4 linked regions of the Caenorhabditis elegans genome follow. The protein of the gene in region 4 purifies or fractionates together with the protein of the main gene of each other region. This does not show direct contact. Each region holds a gene or a part of one and is shown on either strand. Other genes may lie near its edges. The genes, in order: F36G3.2, Y106G6E.4, map-1 and F58H1.8.

Region 1 (4,055 bases), on a different chromosome or scaffold from region 4:
ATATCTGGGCAAGGTCAACTATTCCTTCATTAAGAAGAATGACGTATTTGTTTTATTAATCAAAATGAAAAACATCAGTTGTTTAATTCTCAAATGTTATTTTCAAGCAAAATTTTGAAAATTTTTATAAATTTACGCTGTCGAGATAATCATTTTAAAACCGAACAAATGTTCTAATAACGTTATGTCAAAAAAACTTATAAAACTTTAAAAAACCGTAATAATTTTCAGTGAGTCAGTTTTATGAAACGCAAAACAAACAGAATCTGTTCGTTATTTTTCCAGTGTAAACAAAAATAAGAAGTAAAATTTAATGCTACTTGTTTGCACGCAGAGCTTATTGAAAATACTTCGATTCTGTTTTTTCAGACTATAATAAAAAAATCTACAATAGAACCACAGAACTAACAAATGCGGTTTTTTTTCAACAAAATGACGTATTGTTCCCACTTCCAAGTGATCATTTTTCCCACCCAAACTGCTTTAACAAACCATATGGTTGCGGGCAGAGGCGGCGGCAAAAAATGTTTGTTCTTCTGATTTATTGAGAAAATAAAAATGTCTCAAGCAAGCCAATTCGGTTCAGCATTGTGCTGTATAATGATAATAATAAACACTAACCAGAATACACTAACCATTAAAATGATAAAAGAAGCAAAAATGGAACAATTTAAAATTTTAAAACATTTGACATTAATAGCATAATTTAGATGAAAAGTTAACATTCAACACAACCTTTTAGCTATTACATTAAAAGAAGTTTTCAGAAAATTAATTGCATAGAACCAATAAATATTACTACAACATGAAATTCAAAACAGAAACAGTCATTAATAATCAAAATGACAAGAATTGTTATGCGCAATAAAAACCTTTGACAAATCGCCCTTGTTCGGCCATTCGTTACTGAAAAGAGTAACTCCACTAACTGCAGGAATGATCTCAAGACTTTGGAAAAATGATTGAAGGAATGCTCCACTTCCAACATCGAGTAAGTGGAACAAGACGTCCGCTTCCGGATGCAATTCGAACATCACTCCAGAGAACACGCGAAGTGCTGACATGGCAATGCTTGGAGAATCAGCATACAATGGCGCAATCTTGAATACGTTGTCTTCTGAAAAAACAAAGATGAATATGTTTTTTCCCGAAAATTACAATTTGGGACAACCTTTGTGCGAAGTGCGGACAGCAGAAATATGAGCAATGATTTTATGATGCTGGTCAAAGAGCACGACTCCGAGCACACAGTCCAGCTTATAATAGAGTTCCAGGAATTCTCGGCGGTTTCTACCGTTGACATCACTATCGTATCGCACCAGTTGGTCAAATTCGACAGGCGTCAAATGACTAACGAGTTTGAAGTTCTGAACAAATCATCAGATTAATATTAAAATTTGAGAACATACTGAAAATGTGTTATGTTGGACCTAACTCTGATAACAATTGTACATAGTTTTTGACAAAATGCAACACATTTTGGCAGTCTTATTTTCTTATTTCACTATAATCTTTTAAAAATCGATATAAATTTTACGTATAGTAATGTGATTTTGATTATAATAATGCGCACTTAATTAAGGTTCTACACAAAAGTTCTTTCTTTGTCGGTAAACTTGGGTAGTATTGAACTTAAATTGAGCAACCTAAAAAAACTACGCTATCCAAAGTCACTTTTATGCTTTAAAGAGGAATCTTACGTCTCCTGTCATTTTTTCCATAGACGCGTGATATTCGGCCACCTTCATTTTGTAGTTTTCGAGCGTTGCTCCGACAAACGGCGTTGCTTTCTTTCTGTACTTGTCAACCATGCTGGGTACTGTAATGATTATGTTTGAAAAATAGTTTTCAATCGAAAATTTTTACCTCCTCGTAGTCCCAGTGTGTGATCGGCAGGCATTCGAGACATTGCGATATCCCAAATAACTGATCCTACGCCTTTCCCACGATACTCAGGAGCCAACAGGAAAAACCCGAGGAAACATATTTTGTTATACTCATTCCAAATAACGCATCCAACAAAGTCATTTTCAGCTGCAAATATATGTTTTAGAACAATTCGGAAAATTGAATTCAATATGTATAAATTTTTCTAAAAGCTGGAACTGCAACAGCTATTATTTTACATTTAAAAATTACTAAAATTTTATTCGATGTACTTTCAAAACGTCGTATTTTCATGCGTACATGGCATTAGTTTTAAAACAATACTCACCAGTTTTAGAGACTGCCCAAACACTTCGTGTTGACGGCATTGATGGTGTTAATGCGGTCACCGAGTTGTCATCAGAAGTCCATCCTTCGGTATCCACAAGATTTTTCCATTGTTTCCATAAATGGCTATTTGGCTCTGGATTCTCAAGAATGTCGTACGATACTTCGCTCATTTTGATATCTAAAAACTTGTGTTTTTTAATTTGAAAATTGATGAGTGGAGGAAAAATTTCAAAAATAATGAACACGTTTACTGTTTGATATTTTAATGAATGAGTTATTATAAATTCTGCAAAATTGAACCTATTTCAAAAACATAATCACAGCAGAAATGTTTCCCAAAATCCTATTCTGCACAAAATTATCTTGAACAAAAAAATCACGTGGTGCCAGGCTGTCCCATTACAGTTTGATCTACAAAAAATGCGGGAATTCTTTGCCCAAAAAATGTGACGTCAGCACGTTCTTAACCATGCGAAATCAGTTGAGAACTATGCGTCACTTCTCCTGCATTTTTTGTAGATCTACGTAGATCAAACCGAAATGGGACACTCTGACACCACGTGAAAATCAGTAATCAAATATATTTAGCTTTTTAAAAAGTCAATTGTAATAATGTTAAACTACATTATCAAGTCAAAACAATTCAAATCACTTTAAATTATTTTATGAAATCTTTCAAATTAAAAATACTCTCTTAAAATTCCCTTTAAAATGTGTTGATTTTTCAGCTTAATAGAATTCATGCAACGCTTTTTTGAAAAGAGTTGGTCTGATTTTAAGAAAGTAGTAAATGTTTGCCACTGGAGCAAAGAACAAAGTATTCTAAAACTCAGTCTTGGCCAAAAATTTCGCACATGTCTCAAGCGTTCAATCTTTGTGCGAAACACACGACTTTTCACAATCTGGTAAAAAGCTTCACGCCGATATATCTTTTTTGAAGAAAAAATGAAATAGATTAATCAGAAAAGAGTGGCCAGAACAACTGAACGAGACGCAGTGAAAAGTGCAAACTGCTCGTCGTCATTGGAAGGAAAAGAGCAAAAAAGAAAAGTGCCGCCAATACATAGGCAGCCGTTTTTATTGCTCACCCAACCACACTCGCCTGTTGTTAAATGTCTTCGAAAATAGTTTGGAACGAATAGGAAAATTATTTTGCAAGGAACGAACCTGGAAGACACTTTACCCAATTTTCTGTATAACATTAAAAAGAGAGAAAAACAGAATTCAACATATTAATGAAAAAAGGAACATTATACACTTGATTAAAATTTTTAAAAAATCAACTGATACTGTTTTTGAGCTTCTGGATTAGAGTACTGTGACACATGCTAATTGTTGAAAAGTGGTGAGTTTAGCTAAATGAAGCTATTAATCTTTCAAATTTTGATAAGCATAACAATTTTCGAGACTTTTTTGAGAAGTCTCTGAAGTCTATGAAATGCTCTCCTCTAAAGTTATTTTGTGACTATTAAGAAACAAACAAAACCGTTACACTTCCTATAACAAGCCTTGCTATTTTCAAACGCTTAGACCTGGCAAAATAATAATAGGAATATACAAAAATGAAATTCTAAATTTGTTGGAACCTGAACTCAAATTAAAAATGTTAAAAAGACAGAACCTACACTGATAAAAAATGTTATACTAACGCAAAGATTGAGATAACTGATAAGAAAATAGCGTAGAGTGATTGACCAAAGTGCAAAAAAACTTTTGACCAATTTGGTTTCCTGCACTTGCGAGGTGCAAATGAAAGTGAAGACAACTAAATTTTCAGAGTGTCCGACCAAAACAAAAGGTACCTTGTGAGAATATCAAGTTACTTCGCCGTATTTTTC
Region 2 (3,358 bases), on a different chromosome or scaffold from region 4:
GGTGGTGTTCGAAATCTGAATGCTATTGAACAACTTGTTGAGGTTCAAAGGAGTCTGATTAGTGCATATGAAACTTCACCTCCTACTGATGCTGAAGTTCAGAAAATTCTTGATATTGAATCCAGTGAGGATGTTTCCGAGGAGATCAGAGAAATGTGGAAATCACAAATTGGGGAACACCGATGTGGACGGTTGGCTGCAATTTCGATGGTTCAATTTGCAGAAAAAAGTCCGCAAGATCTGAGAATGCTAATTTCGGAGAATACAATGAGGATTGAAGGAGGAAAATGGCAACTGATTCCAATGTGGATGAGGTTTTTTTGCAAACGTAAAGATGTTCTGATGATTTTTTAAATTCAGGTGCTGTGACATTGCCGCAGAATTGTTCAGAGTAATACCTGGTCGTGATGAGTTGGATCGTTTGATTGTAGTTCTCTTTTCCACGGAGACTCCATTTCCAGCTGTATTCGCATGTATTGTACACCTTTTCCATCGAACATGGCGTGAGATGCAGGCAAAAGGAGGTGAAATGGAGAAAGTTGCGTGTGTTGTACTGGAACAGTTACGGCATGTGCTGAAAAGACGGGAAATACAAGATGTAGAAGAACTATCTGCGGATTTGGAGACTTTTTCGTATAGGGCAATGCAAGAAATTTGGAGAGAGGAACAATTGGGAAAGGAAAATATTCAATTACATAGTGAAGCTGTGATGTAAGTCTGAAAATTCCAATAACTTATTCGTATACATATTTTCAGACAACTAAAATCGAAATTGCGGCCAAAAATGGAGGAATTGGTTCGAATAAATCATCTAAACTATTTGAAGTTAGGCGCCGTTTTTCGAAAACCACAGAAAAGTAAATCCCTCGCAAAGCTCGCCTTCTGGCATTGGAAGCTCGATGCATCGGAGAAAATGCTCACTATAACTGGATGTGATGGTGAGAACTATGTGGAAGGTGTGCAGAGAGATGATATTCGGCAAGGTTGGGGGAATATTGAATTAGTTCTCAAATAATAAATTAATTTATTTTCAGTTTGGATCAAAGATATTGCTGATGTAACAAATAATGATGAGATTGATAGAAAAGCAAGCTCATCTCGATTCACTTCTTCTCCATCTACACAAATGTTAAGAGGGATTCGTGTACAATTAAAAACAACAAATGATATGAAAGAAGGCGAAGTTTTAATGGCATTGACATCCGATGAAACTCAATCTGTTATATGGCTTGAAGGTCTTGCTGAATTGATTGGGAGCAAGGCAGTTAAAAGGTATCTAGACATTGGTTACTGTAGTTACAGTAACCTGAAGAATAGGAAGCCCCGAAAATACCAATTGAAATATTTTCAGTGAAACCGATGCAATGGTTGAACGAATGCTGAAAATGGAGCTACGAGTTCGCCTTCTCAATGTGAAACTCACGAACCCCGAGGAGAAACCAGAAATTCCACCGATCCCTGACGATATCAAAAGCTTTATTTCAAAGTTTTAATCATATTCAAGCTTTATCATTCTTACGTGCATTTTACCATATTGAAAGGCAAAACATTTCCATGTGCATAATAAATTTTGTAATTTATGCCTATTACTGTGTATTTAACTTAATTTGAATAACGAGCCATTAACTACAGGCCACTAACAGTTTTCTGAATCTCTTGAAAACAAATTTTTGACCAACATTTTCAGATGAGTGCTATAAAAGAGGTAAAATCAGAGCTCAGGCAGTTTATGAAGACATTGCTCGGAAAAATTTCGAAAGAAGAAACTCAACGTCAAACAGAGGCGGTTTTTGAAAAAATAATTGAATCGAAATGGTTTCAAGAGAGCAAGAGATTGTCAGTTTATGTTAGTACATCGGGAGAAATACAAACTGATTCGATTATTCAAAAAGCGTTGGAAATGGGAAAAGAAGTTTTCATTCCACAGGTAAAATTTATTTTGAAACAGATGCGCAATAGATGTTAAGATGTAGGCATGTAGGTAGGCACATAGGCAGGCAGAAATAAAGCAGGTAGGCCGACAAGAAGTAGGCAGATATGAGCTATGAATAAAGGCAGGCAGGCACGTAGCCAGGCAGAACTAAGGCACTTGCGAGGTAGGCGTAAAGTAGGCCCCTAGACATGAAGGCTGTAATCGTTTGTAGTAGGCAGGCAATTAGTACCTAGGCAGATATTATATATGAATCCAGGGAGACAGGCACGTACAGCAAGTATAATTTATTGAAGTCACAAATGTAAAAATTTCAGTTCACGAAGGGCTCAACTGCAATGGATATGGTTCGAGTTCCGGATCAAACTGCTTTTGACAATCTTCCTTCAACACTTTGGGGAATCAGACAGCCAGAACCGAAATGGAAATGGCAAAGCTATCATGAAACAGGTGTGACTGCTTTTTAATAATATAACTCCAATTTATAAGTACTTACAGGACCACTGGATTTGATCCTTGCACCCGGCGTTGCCTTCTCACCATATGGACTTCGTTGTGGTCATGGAAAAGGATATTACGATCGCTTCTTCTCCACTCATCACAAACATTTTCCAGAAAACTCCCCAAAAAAGATAGGATTGGCTCTTCGTGAGCAAATTATTGGTACAATTCCTATTTCTGAAACTGATGTTGAACTTGATGAGGTTATCTATGAAGGAGAAACTATTATTTTTGATACTATTTAAGGCTTCACACTCTAAATAATATTCCCGATTGTGATATTGAGATTTTTTTTTAAATTTCTCTCGCCAATTTATAAGTGATTTTTCAGACATTCCTCAAATGGTTTTGTGATACAATTTCTTGCATTTGTTAACTGAATAAACTTTTTTGAACTACAGTTATATATAATTTTTTCATAGATTATTCAGTCATTAGTTAGAAGCATTCTAGCCTTCCGAGGTGTTTCAATTTTAGGTCCCACCACGAAAACTTGTGGAGATGTTCTGAAATGCCCCATAGAACTGCATAGCATTGTCCCAAAAGCCTGTAAATATATCTGAAAACTTGCTCACACAAAACGAAAGGATTCAAAGGCCTGAAGACATTAATTAGCAAAAATTAGATACATTCAATGGTTTCACTAATATCACACAGTTCAGATAGACCGAGATGAGGACTGATGTAGTTAAATCGATATATGATAGAAGCCCTGTAATTTACATGAAGAGCAACTACACGAAACTGAACAAAAATATTCATTTAAAGTCAATACATAGTAATCATTGTTCACTCTCAAACTTGTTGAACACGAGGTCAATTTTGGTCTCCCGATCCGCACTGCAAATATTATTATTTCAAAAAGGTTATCATGATCAACATACCTTTGCTTTTTCTCCCTTGCTTGACGAGTGGTCACTCTGACTT
Region 3 (5,673 bases), on a different chromosome or scaffold from region 4:
ACCGAGATGGTCGATCAATATACTGGACATCTAAAAATCACCCGTCCCTCACTGCTCCTAAAACAAGAAGCCTATCTGGAAGAGCTGGAACGTCGGAGAAGGATCAGAAGATCCACCACCACCACCACCACCACCAGCTCCCACCACCATCAGCATCAGCAGCAGCAGCTCCACAACCATCCAATGATCGATGAGGCGATGCTAGACAATCTTCTCGACGATTCAAACCGCCCGTGGTCGAAGCCAGCAGCCCAGCTCGACGAGCAGCAGCTCGAGCCTCATCTTGACCGTGAAAAGGAGACGTTTTTCAGGAAGCCCAAACTATTTCTGGCTCGGAAGGAGAAATCCAAAGATGGGAAGCTTGTCGCCTCGTTTTTACGGCCTCTGGAGTTTGGCTACATGCCCGGGCTGCCATCGACGAAGACTGGTGGTCGAGGAATCCCAGGCCACGGCCCCGCAGGGGCCCGCGAGACACTCACCCGGGAATCTATCCTAGGAAATTCACTGTATGCATCTCGAGCTTCAGCCGAAAATCACCCGCTGAAATCAGTTGTCAAGGACTCGGATGAGCTTCTTCGTCGATTTGTGAGTCGCCAGGACCCGCAGGCCGGAGCCATTATCTATGGCCGGAGCATGATGATGACGTCATCAGGCCGGGCCACACTGGACTCGGAGATTGCTCGGGCGGCTCAGCAGCTATCGGCTGTGAGGCTCAGGAACTCGGTGGGCACCAGTAGAGCCGCTGGGAAGAAGGATGAAATGAGCAGAGGGCGATTTTTGACGACAGCTCCACGGCAGCAGATTGGAACATGATTTTTATTGATTTTTATTGATTTTTTGTGTTTTTTCTTGTTTTTTTTACTGAAAATTTGTCAAATTTGAAGCTTTTTTGAGAAAAAACCGCTTAAAAACTGGTTTTTTGGCAGAAAATTTGGCAATTCAAGCCGAAAATTGACCAATTTAGTGATTTTATTACTGGAAATTTAAAAAATTTGGAGTTTTTTTGAAAAAAAAAATCGCTGAAAAACTCGGAACTTTCAAAATTGAGCAAGCACAGAAAAGAAAACCTATTTTTTGCTGGAAATTTTTGAAAAAATTTGCAATTTTCAAGTTTTGAGCTCTGAAAATGTGAAAAATTCTGGAAAAGTGCCAATTTTCAGTTTTTTTCCCAATTTTTTGTTCAAATTTTCAGTTTATCTGTGATCCTTTCTCCCAAAGATCTCCCATTTTCATCGATTTCCCTCTCTTTTTAAATATTTTTTTTGCTCCGAACCTTGAAACTCCTCCTAACAAATGCTTTTTTTATTATTAAATTAGGTATAACTGTGATTAAATTTTTAAAATTATTTTTTCCATTGTTTTTGTTTTGTTATTAAGCTGGGCTTTTTAGGCCTTATCTGTTGGATTTTTCAGGAAAAAATATTAAAGTTATCCGATTTTTCAGATTTTTTTTTGGGAAAAAATTAAAATTTTCGGATTTTTTTTGAAAAAAATTCTTTAAAATAATCAGAAAAAGTTAGAAAAAAACACTAATTTTTTTTCAATTTTTTCCAATAAATCCGAAAAAAATCTGAATTTTTTGCTATTTTTTTACAGATTTTTTCCTAAAAAAAAGTTTCGAAATTTCCTAATAATTATTTTTTTCGAAAAAAATCTCAAAATTTGTGGATTTTTCATATTTATTTTCGAATTTTCAATGTTTTGAAAGCTATTTTCTTCAAATTTTCAACTTTTAACAAAAAAAAACATGATTTTTTCATAATTTCCACTACAAAAAAAGTATTTTCAGCCCGAAAAATGGACGATTTGGAAGGCAAAAAGTGCATTGGATGCCAGAAACCGGCAAAACTACGATGCCCGACATGCATTAAAATGTCACTGCCCGACGCGTATTTCTGTGATCAGGTATACATAGCTGAGATTTGTCAAAAACTACCCATTTTATCAATGGAGCTCGATTGCATCTTCCAAAATATTCAATTTTTCATTCCAAAAAAAAAACCATTTCAGTCCTGCTTCAAAGCATTCTGGCCGATTCACAAATTCTCGCACTCGGACGTCAACGGGCCGTACAATCCGTGGCCGTGCTACTCGGTAAGCGCTGAAAATTTCAGATTTCCCCAGCCTAAATCGGCCTATTTTCCAGTTCACAGGCTCGCTTCGCCCAGGCCGAGTCACCGATCGTCGCCCGGTTCCCGATCACATCCCCCGCCCGGATTACGCCCTTCACCCGCAAGGCGTCTCTCTGGAGGAACGTCAATCGAAAAGTGAACGTGTGATTAAAGTATTGACCGACGAGGAGAAGGAGGGCCTGAAAGTGGCCTGTAAACTAGGCCGTGAATGCCTGAATGAGGCCGCCAAGGCCTGCGGGCCTGGAGTTACTACTGAGGAAATCGATCGAGTTGTGCATGAGGCGGCAATTGAACGAGATTGTTATCCGAGCCCGTTGGGATATTATAAGTTCCCGAAGAGTTGTTGTACTTCTGTTAATGAGGTCATTTGTCATGGAATTCCGGATATGAGAAAGTTGGAGAATGGAGATCTTTGCAATGGTAATGAGGATTATCGATTTTGCAGAAAAAATATCGATTTCCTGGAATAATGTTGATTTTGACAATTTTGGCATACGCATTTTTCCTAAAATTTGCCGTTTTTTTTTTGTTGAAAAAATAACGATTTTTGGAAGAAAAATCGATATTGACTTTTGACGATTTTTTTTTTCGTCAAAAAGCTACTGATTTCTAAAAAATAACATAACTTGATTTTCCAGAAAATTTATTTTATTTATCTAGTAATTATTGATTTTTGTTGGAAAATGTTCGATTATTGTAAGGAAATATTGCATTTTGATTTTTTTTTTTTAATTTCTCGATTATTTTGAAAACTATTGTAATCGTCAAAAAATTATCGATTTTTCTCGGAAATTTCTCGGAATTTATCGGCGAATTTTTTGACGTGAAAATAATCGACTTTTGTGTAAAAAATGTTTTTTTTTAAATATAAATTGTAAATTTTCATATAAATAAAACAATTATCTTTATGAAAATCTTTAAACAATTGGAAAAAGCTTCAATTTTTGAGCCAGAATTGCGGAAAATTCGAATTTCGCAGTCATTTTTTTTTCAAAAATTCAAAAAGTTTGATTTTAATGAAAAAATCGATAAACACAATTTCTTGTTCATTTTTTTCAATTTTCAGTCGACGTCACCGTCTATCACCGCGGTTTCCATGGAGATCTCAACGAAACCTTCTTGGTCGGTGATAAAGTCGACGAGGAGTCCAGGAAACTTGTCAAAGTTACATTTGAGTGTCTTCAACAGGCTATCGCTATTGGTATCGCAAAAAAAGCTACATATGCAATCGCGCTCTAACGCTAAATTTGACCTTTTTAAAGTTTTTGGCGGTAAAATTCGAAAATTCGACCGTTTTCAATCAATTTTTCGTAATTTTGAATATTTTTTTTCGCGGGAATTTTTAAAAATTTCACTGAAATCGCACTGTTTTTAAAAATTATCATCATTTTCATATTAAAAATCGATAAAAACAACAAAAAAAATTTACAAAACGTATGAAAACTGTCTGAAAACGGCCGGATTTACGACTATTTCTGAAAAATAACGGTTTTGGCATTGGAGCGCGCTTGCACTTTGATTTTCAAATTTTTATTGATTTTTTTCAGTGAAGCCAGGCGTCAAATTCCGTGAAATTGGAAATGTGATTCAAAAACACGCCAATGCAAATGGATTCTCAGTTGTTAAGGGTTACTGTGGACATGGTATTCATCGCTTATTCCATACTGCACCAAATGTTCCGCATTATGCTAGTGAGTATGGAAAATATTTAAATCGAAAAAATCGATAATTTTGAAAAAAAAAATTATTTGAAATTTTTCTAAAAAATCATCGACAAAAAACCTTTTTAAAAAGTATTTTATTTTTCCAATCAAATTTTTTAAAAAAGTTTGAGAAAAAATATTCAAAAAACTTGTAAAAAATCAATAATTTTTGAAAAAAAATTTAAATGTTTTTTTTTAAATTTAAAATTTAAAATTCAACAAAAAACACTTTTTTTCCAATAACAATAAAAAAAATACATTTTGGAAAAGAAATCAAAAAAATTGTAAAAAATAGGTAATTTTTGAAAACAATTTTGTTTACATTAGATTTTTTTTCAAAAAATTTAAAAATAAATATTTGAATTCAACAAAAGAAAATGTTTCCAAAATTTTTTTTTTTTGGAAAAAAAGTTTAAATTCAATTTTAAAAAAAACCTAATTTTTTTCCAATAAAAACTTTTGAAAAAAGTGAAGTAAAAAGTTTTATCAATTTCTGTAAAAAAATTGGAAAAATTTATATTTTTTCCGGAAATCTTTAAAAAAATGACTGTAAAAATATGAAAAGAAATTTAAATTTAAAAACTTAAAATAATTAAAAATTTGATGTTAAGAAAAAAACTTGAAAAAACAAATTTTTTTTTACAGATTTTAAATTTAAAAAGTACGGAAATTCTTGAAAATTTAAAAAAAAAACGAGTTTATTAGAAAAATAATTTTTTTTGTAATTTAAAATTTTTGCTAAAAATCAATTCAAATTTATACTGAAAACGTTTTTTTAAAATTAAAACTCTCTTCAACATTGACTACTTTTTAGATCCAGAAATGTAAGAAAAAAGGGTTTTTATCCCTGCGGACCTTTGAACTACAGTATTTTCGTAGTGAAACCCGAAAATATCAAAAAATTCCCCGCTTTTTTTCCAGAAAACAACGCGACGGGCGTTATGAAGGCAGGCAACTCGTTCACCATCGAGCCGATGATCAACGCCGGCACCTACCACGACGACAAATGGCCTGACGATTGGACCGCCGTTACCGTATGTGCCTGCTGATTTGGCGGACATTCAAAAAATTTGTTAAATTTTCAGAGAGATGGCCGCCGCTCTGCCCAATTCGAACAGACACTTTTGGTTACTGACACTGGCTGCGAGATTCTGACAAAGAGAGACGGAAACCGCCCGTGGTTTATGGATCAGATTGAGCAGAGTTATTGATTTATTAATTTTTTATACTTTTTTTTTTTGAATTGTTTGGCCTTTTTTACTTGAATAAATCGTTTTTCCTTGATTTTATTACCCAGACGCAAAATGTTGCGATTTTTGTGCAAAAAATACTGTTTCCGGTCTCGATACGACAAATGCGAATAGGTGTGCGCCTTTGAAGAATACGGTGGTTTTTCTCGCGCCTTGTTAACATTGATGTGGATTCAATTGTCAATTCTCTGTAAATTCTGTAAATTCTCACTAATTCTTATTAATGACCAAATATAACAACAGAAGACAGAATTTAAAAAAATTTCAAAACCGCCACGTTCAAGCAGAAATAGTGAATTTTCGGTCATACCTTCTAGACCACAATTTATATGCAAAATTAATAGATTTTTCAAACTTTGAAAATTAATTTCTGGCTTCAATCTAACTTTTTTAAAAAATTCCCGTAGCCATTTTGTAGCAAATTTTATGTTCTTTCAGAATTTGAAAACAGAACTGTAAAAAAATCCGAAACCGCCAAGTTCAAGCAGAAAAAGTGAATTTTCAGTCATACCTTGTAGACCGTTTTTTTTGGGAAAAAAATTCTCGTTACCCTTCTTCAGCATGTCATTTTTGGTGACTCTAACAAGG
Region 4 (3,508 bases):
TTAAAATCATTTTCTAAATATACATAAATATGGCGAAACAATGTTCTCTGGAAATCCGTTTCTCCGGCACAGAGGTGTCTCGACACATTTTTTTCTCTCACAAAAGTATTGCACAAAAACCCTCTTAATTTCCTTTTTTTTGCATTTTTATGTGGTTTGAAACTATTAAAAATAACTAATTTAGTCAGAAAATAGGCCAAATGTCTACATCATATTTTCAAATATTAATAATCGTCAATATTGCGCTCTTATCAGTAGTTTATCGTCTATCTTTGCAAAGTTCCTTGCACTGTCTTTTATTCACAATCAATATTCATCTATTTTAATGTCATCTCTTTTCTGGTTTCAAAAATCATGACAAAAACGAAAACAACCATTTTTCTTCATCACTTTCACTACTAATTTAGTTCAAAATAGCCCAATTCTTGAAAATTCCAGCCGCATTCCAGTCATGACAACCACTACTATTCAATTCAACGCGCTGCTCCTAGATATTGAGGGTACAATAACCAGTATCTCCTTTGTTAAGGTTATTTTTTCTTCTATTCTATTTCTTCCATTTGATTATCAATTAAAGTTTTTATTTTTACAGGATGAGCTTTTTCCATACGCGTTCGAGAACGTTGGAAATTATTTGGAGGAGCACTACGACAATCCAGCAACTCAAATAATTGTTGAAGATTTGAGGCACATTGCAGACCAACAAGCGGAAAATGATGTGGCAGTTGTGTTAGTATTTAATTTGCACAGCTTGTTTTTATCGAATTTATGTACTTTACAGGCGGATCCGCGAACCAAGAAAGGAATGCATTGAGGATGTAACAAAAAATGTCAGACACTGGATAAAAAGAGACAAAAAAGTTTATAGAGTATTTGAGAAAAGGTGTTTAAAATTCAATATTTTCCAGCTGACACCAATGAAAGCTCTCCAGGGGCTCATTTGGGAAGAGGCTTACCAGCGCGGAGATGTGAAAGGACAGTAAGTAAAATCGACAATAAATAAGTAACACGTATTGTATAATTTTACAATTTCAGTGTATATCCGGACGTTTTACCAGTTTTGAAAATTGTTGAAAATAGAAAAATCCCGATCTACATCTACTCATCGGGATCGGTCCACGCTCAAAAGCTCTTGTTTGCCAATTCAATTGAAGGAGATATGACCAAAGTATAATATTCTTTCCACAATCCATTTTAATGTTTTCTTTCAGATTCTCTATGGCTACTTTGACACAAATATCGGTCTGAAGGGAGAAAGCAATTCATACACGAAAATCAGCGAGCGAATTAAAATTCCTCCCAGTGAAATACTATTCCTGACTGATGTTGAAGCAGAAGCGGCTGCTGCCAAGAAAGCTGGGTTACAGACAAAGTTAGTAGTTCGTCCTGGAAATGCGGGTCTAACACAAGAAGCTATAAACGCCTACGGAACCATTGAAAGTTTGGAAGAAATTTTGTAATTCTTTGTATTCATTGTATTCTTTCCTGAAACATTGTTTGGAGATCTTTAATAAAGCCTTCGGTGTAAAAATTGGTTTTCTAGCTTATTTCGAGTTTTCATTGGTCTCATAAATATATTTACAGCTTTTTTGAATATTCAAAACTCCGAATTTGAATTCAGAATGATAATACGGTGTTTTCAAAATTTAAATCAAAGTTCATTGCATCTATATCGAGGAATTTGTACTTCTCGTCCGTCTTCAAGCGTTTTCGATAAAATTAAAAATTTTCTACTGGCTGTAAGTTGAAAATATTGAAAAAAACTTTGAATAAAGATTAAAAAAATTGCAGGAAGAGCGAGAAAATTTCGATAGAGACAATATTCGAAAAGCCCACCAAAAAGACAACGTCGACGAAAAGGAATGGGCATTGATTTATAGAGATGTTGGTAAGATTTATGTTTTCAAAATGTAAAAAAAAGGTTATTCGACAGATTCAAAAAAATTTATTATCGAAAATAGTTTTTTGCTAAAGTGGACATTTCACTAATTACTAACAATGCATGTTCTCAAAACTCACTGTTCTACAAATATTCGGATTTTCCTATTCTCGATGAAATCCGGATTTTTTTTTCGAAAACAGAAAGTGAAACAATTTTTTTAACACGAAAAAAAAAACGATTTTTTGCTTAAAAACATTATCAGAAAAAGTTTAAAACTTTGCCCAAAATTGCATGTTTTTCCAAAATAATTTTGAAATTAGAATTAAAAAATTTATGAATGTTTCTGTTTATCAGAATTTTTGCTCACTTCTTTTTCGAAAAAAGAGAAAACTAACATTTTCGCCATAATCATGCAAAAAATAAATATTTACAACCCTGAAGATGTCAAATAAATATATAATATTTATGTCTGAATTCAAAAAATTACACTTTTTTTCTTGATTGTTCTTATTCTTCAGGAGCATCGAGAACATTTTACATGACTGCTGCTTTTGTTCCATCCTTCATCGTTGGCTCTTCAATTTTTGCTTTCGATGTCAATTCAAACAGTCCTGGAAATCGATTCGATTTTGTGCAGAAGCTAGTGACGGATTCAGAAGAACTTGGAGTTCTCATTGCACTTCCATCAGTTGCATTAGCAGTTGTATTTGCCTGTTTAATCCGTGTTCAGCAGTTACGACTAATTAGGATATACCAGAATAAAAATGACGCGGAGCAGTTTATGGCTATACGGTCGAAATTCATTGTTAAGCAGCACAAAGTGAGTTTTTAAAAATTAACTTTCGTTCTTAAAAAAAAAAACTATCTTGAACAAGATTAAACATTATTAAAAAATTCCAGGAGCTGTTCCGACGAGATGAAACAACTGGTTTCTACTTCGCAGATGATCAAACTGACGGTGTCCGAGTTGCAATGCATTTCTTGTTGGGAAATATTCAGATTGGAAGTCGAAAATCCATGATCATAGATGATATGTTTAGAGCAAACAATTATAGATCTTATATGCTAAACGAAACGAGTGTTCCTCCAAGGTTATAGGAAAAATAAAAGTTTATTAGGTTCTTTTTCATTTAATTAAAAATATTCCAAAAAAAGGACAAAGTACAAAGGTACAGTACATGAATAATGCACAATTCAAACTCATTTTCTGTTGGCTAGAGGTATCATTCAATCAACATTGTCAATTGTTTATTTCAATAAAGAACATTTTGTTTTTTGTTTGGCAGACAAGAAAATAGAATGAGAGAATGTGAGACGCAGAGAGATCAACTTGGTAATTTTGGTTTTTGTTCGGTTTCATTTGAGACAATTTATGTCAGTCATCCTTCTTTCGCTTTGATTTTTTGCATTTTTAGATGCCCGTATCAACGAGATTATTATAGAAATAATTAAGGGAACGAGATTTTATGGAAATGTGGATGAATGTGGCACTGGAGGAGAGAAAATAAATTAAATCTATTATGCAGGTAAAACTCAAGAGATTCAAGAATGAGAAATGAAAGAGATGGAAACTGCAACTATCGAACAAGACAATCAAAACATTCACATTGTGTTGCAGATGGTATT

What was found.
Region 1: the proteins of F58H1.8 (region 4) and F36G3.2 fractionate together in Caenorhabditis elegans (co-fractionation; one large-scale study listed by BioGRID). This does not show direct contact.
Region 2: the proteins of F58H1.8 (region 4) and Y106G6E.4 fractionate together in Caenorhabditis elegans (co-fractionation; one large-scale study listed by BioGRID). This does not show direct contact.
Region 3: the proteins of F58H1.8 (region 4) and map-1 fractionate together in Caenorhabditis elegans (co-fractionation; one large-scale study listed by BioGRID). This does not show direct contact.

What each region holds. Positions count from the first base shown.
Region 1 is NC_003284.9:9,791,879-9,795,933, forward strand, and holds F36G3.2 (GNAT family N-acetyltransferase), read right to left. Parts: upstream 2,396-4,055; 5' UTR 2,388-2,395; coding exon 2,216-2,387; intron 2,035-2,215; coding exon 1,867-2,034; intron 1,820-1,866; coding exon 1,701-1,819; intron 1,372-1,700; exon of another isoform or gene 1,368-1,371; coding exon 1,172-1,367; intron 1,118-1,171; coding exon 831-1,117; 3' UTR 528-830; downstream 1-527. UniProt on the Caenorhabditis elegans protein: To the C-terminal of C.elegans F21C10.9.
Region 2 is NC_003279.8:10,221,108-10,224,465, reverse strand, and holds Y106G6E.4 (putative 5-formyltetrahydrofolate cyclo-ligase), read left to right. Parts: upstream 1-1,687; coding exon 1,688-1,927; intron 1,928-2,247; coding exon 2,248-2,380; intron 2,381-2,428; coding exon 2,429-2,676; 3' UTR 2,677-2,824; downstream 2,825-3,358. Other genes in the region: ced-12 (Cell death abnormality protein 12), read left to right, coding at 1-314, 361-711, 757-983, 1,035-1,272, 1,352-1,493. UniProt on the Caenorhabditis elegans protein: Contributes to tetrahydrofolate metabolism. Helps regulate carbon flow through the folate-dependent one-carbon metabolic network that supplies carbon for the biosynthesis of purines, thymidine and amino acids.
Region 3 is NC_003282.8:3,682,982-3,688,654, reverse strand, and holds map-1 (Methionine aminopeptidase), read left to right. Parts: upstream 1-1,789; 5' UTR 1,790-1,797; coding exon 1,798-1,905; intron 1,906-2,010; coding exon 2,011-2,094; intron 2,095-2,146; coding exon 2,147-2,552; coding exon of another isoform or gene 2,553-2,602; exon of another isoform or gene 2,603-3,035; intron 3,036-3,198; coding exon 3,199-3,333; intron 3,334-3,679; coding exon 3,680-3,823; intron 3,824-4,756; coding exon 4,757-4,869; intron 4,870-4,920; coding exon 4,921-5,046; 3' UTR 5,047-5,118; downstream 5,119-5,673. Other genes in the region: taf-6.2 (TAF6 C-terminal HEAT repeat domain-containing protein), read left to right, coding at 1-813.
Region 4 is NC_003283.11:11,933,527-11,937,034, forward strand, and holds F58H1.8 (uncharacterized protein), read left to right. Parts: upstream 1-1,621; 5' UTR 1,622-1,622; coding exon 1,623-1,739; intron 1,740-1,791; coding exon 1,792-1,888; intron 1,889-2,400; coding exon 2,401-2,702; intron 2,703-2,782; coding exon 2,783-2,980; 3' UTR 2,981-3,003; downstream 3,004-3,508. Other genes in the region: F58H1.3 (Enolase-phosphatase E1), read left to right, coding at 452-529, 593-729, 782-860, 909-979, 1,036-1,168, 1,212-1,460; gpla-1 (Bursicon), read right to left, coding at 3,460-3,508.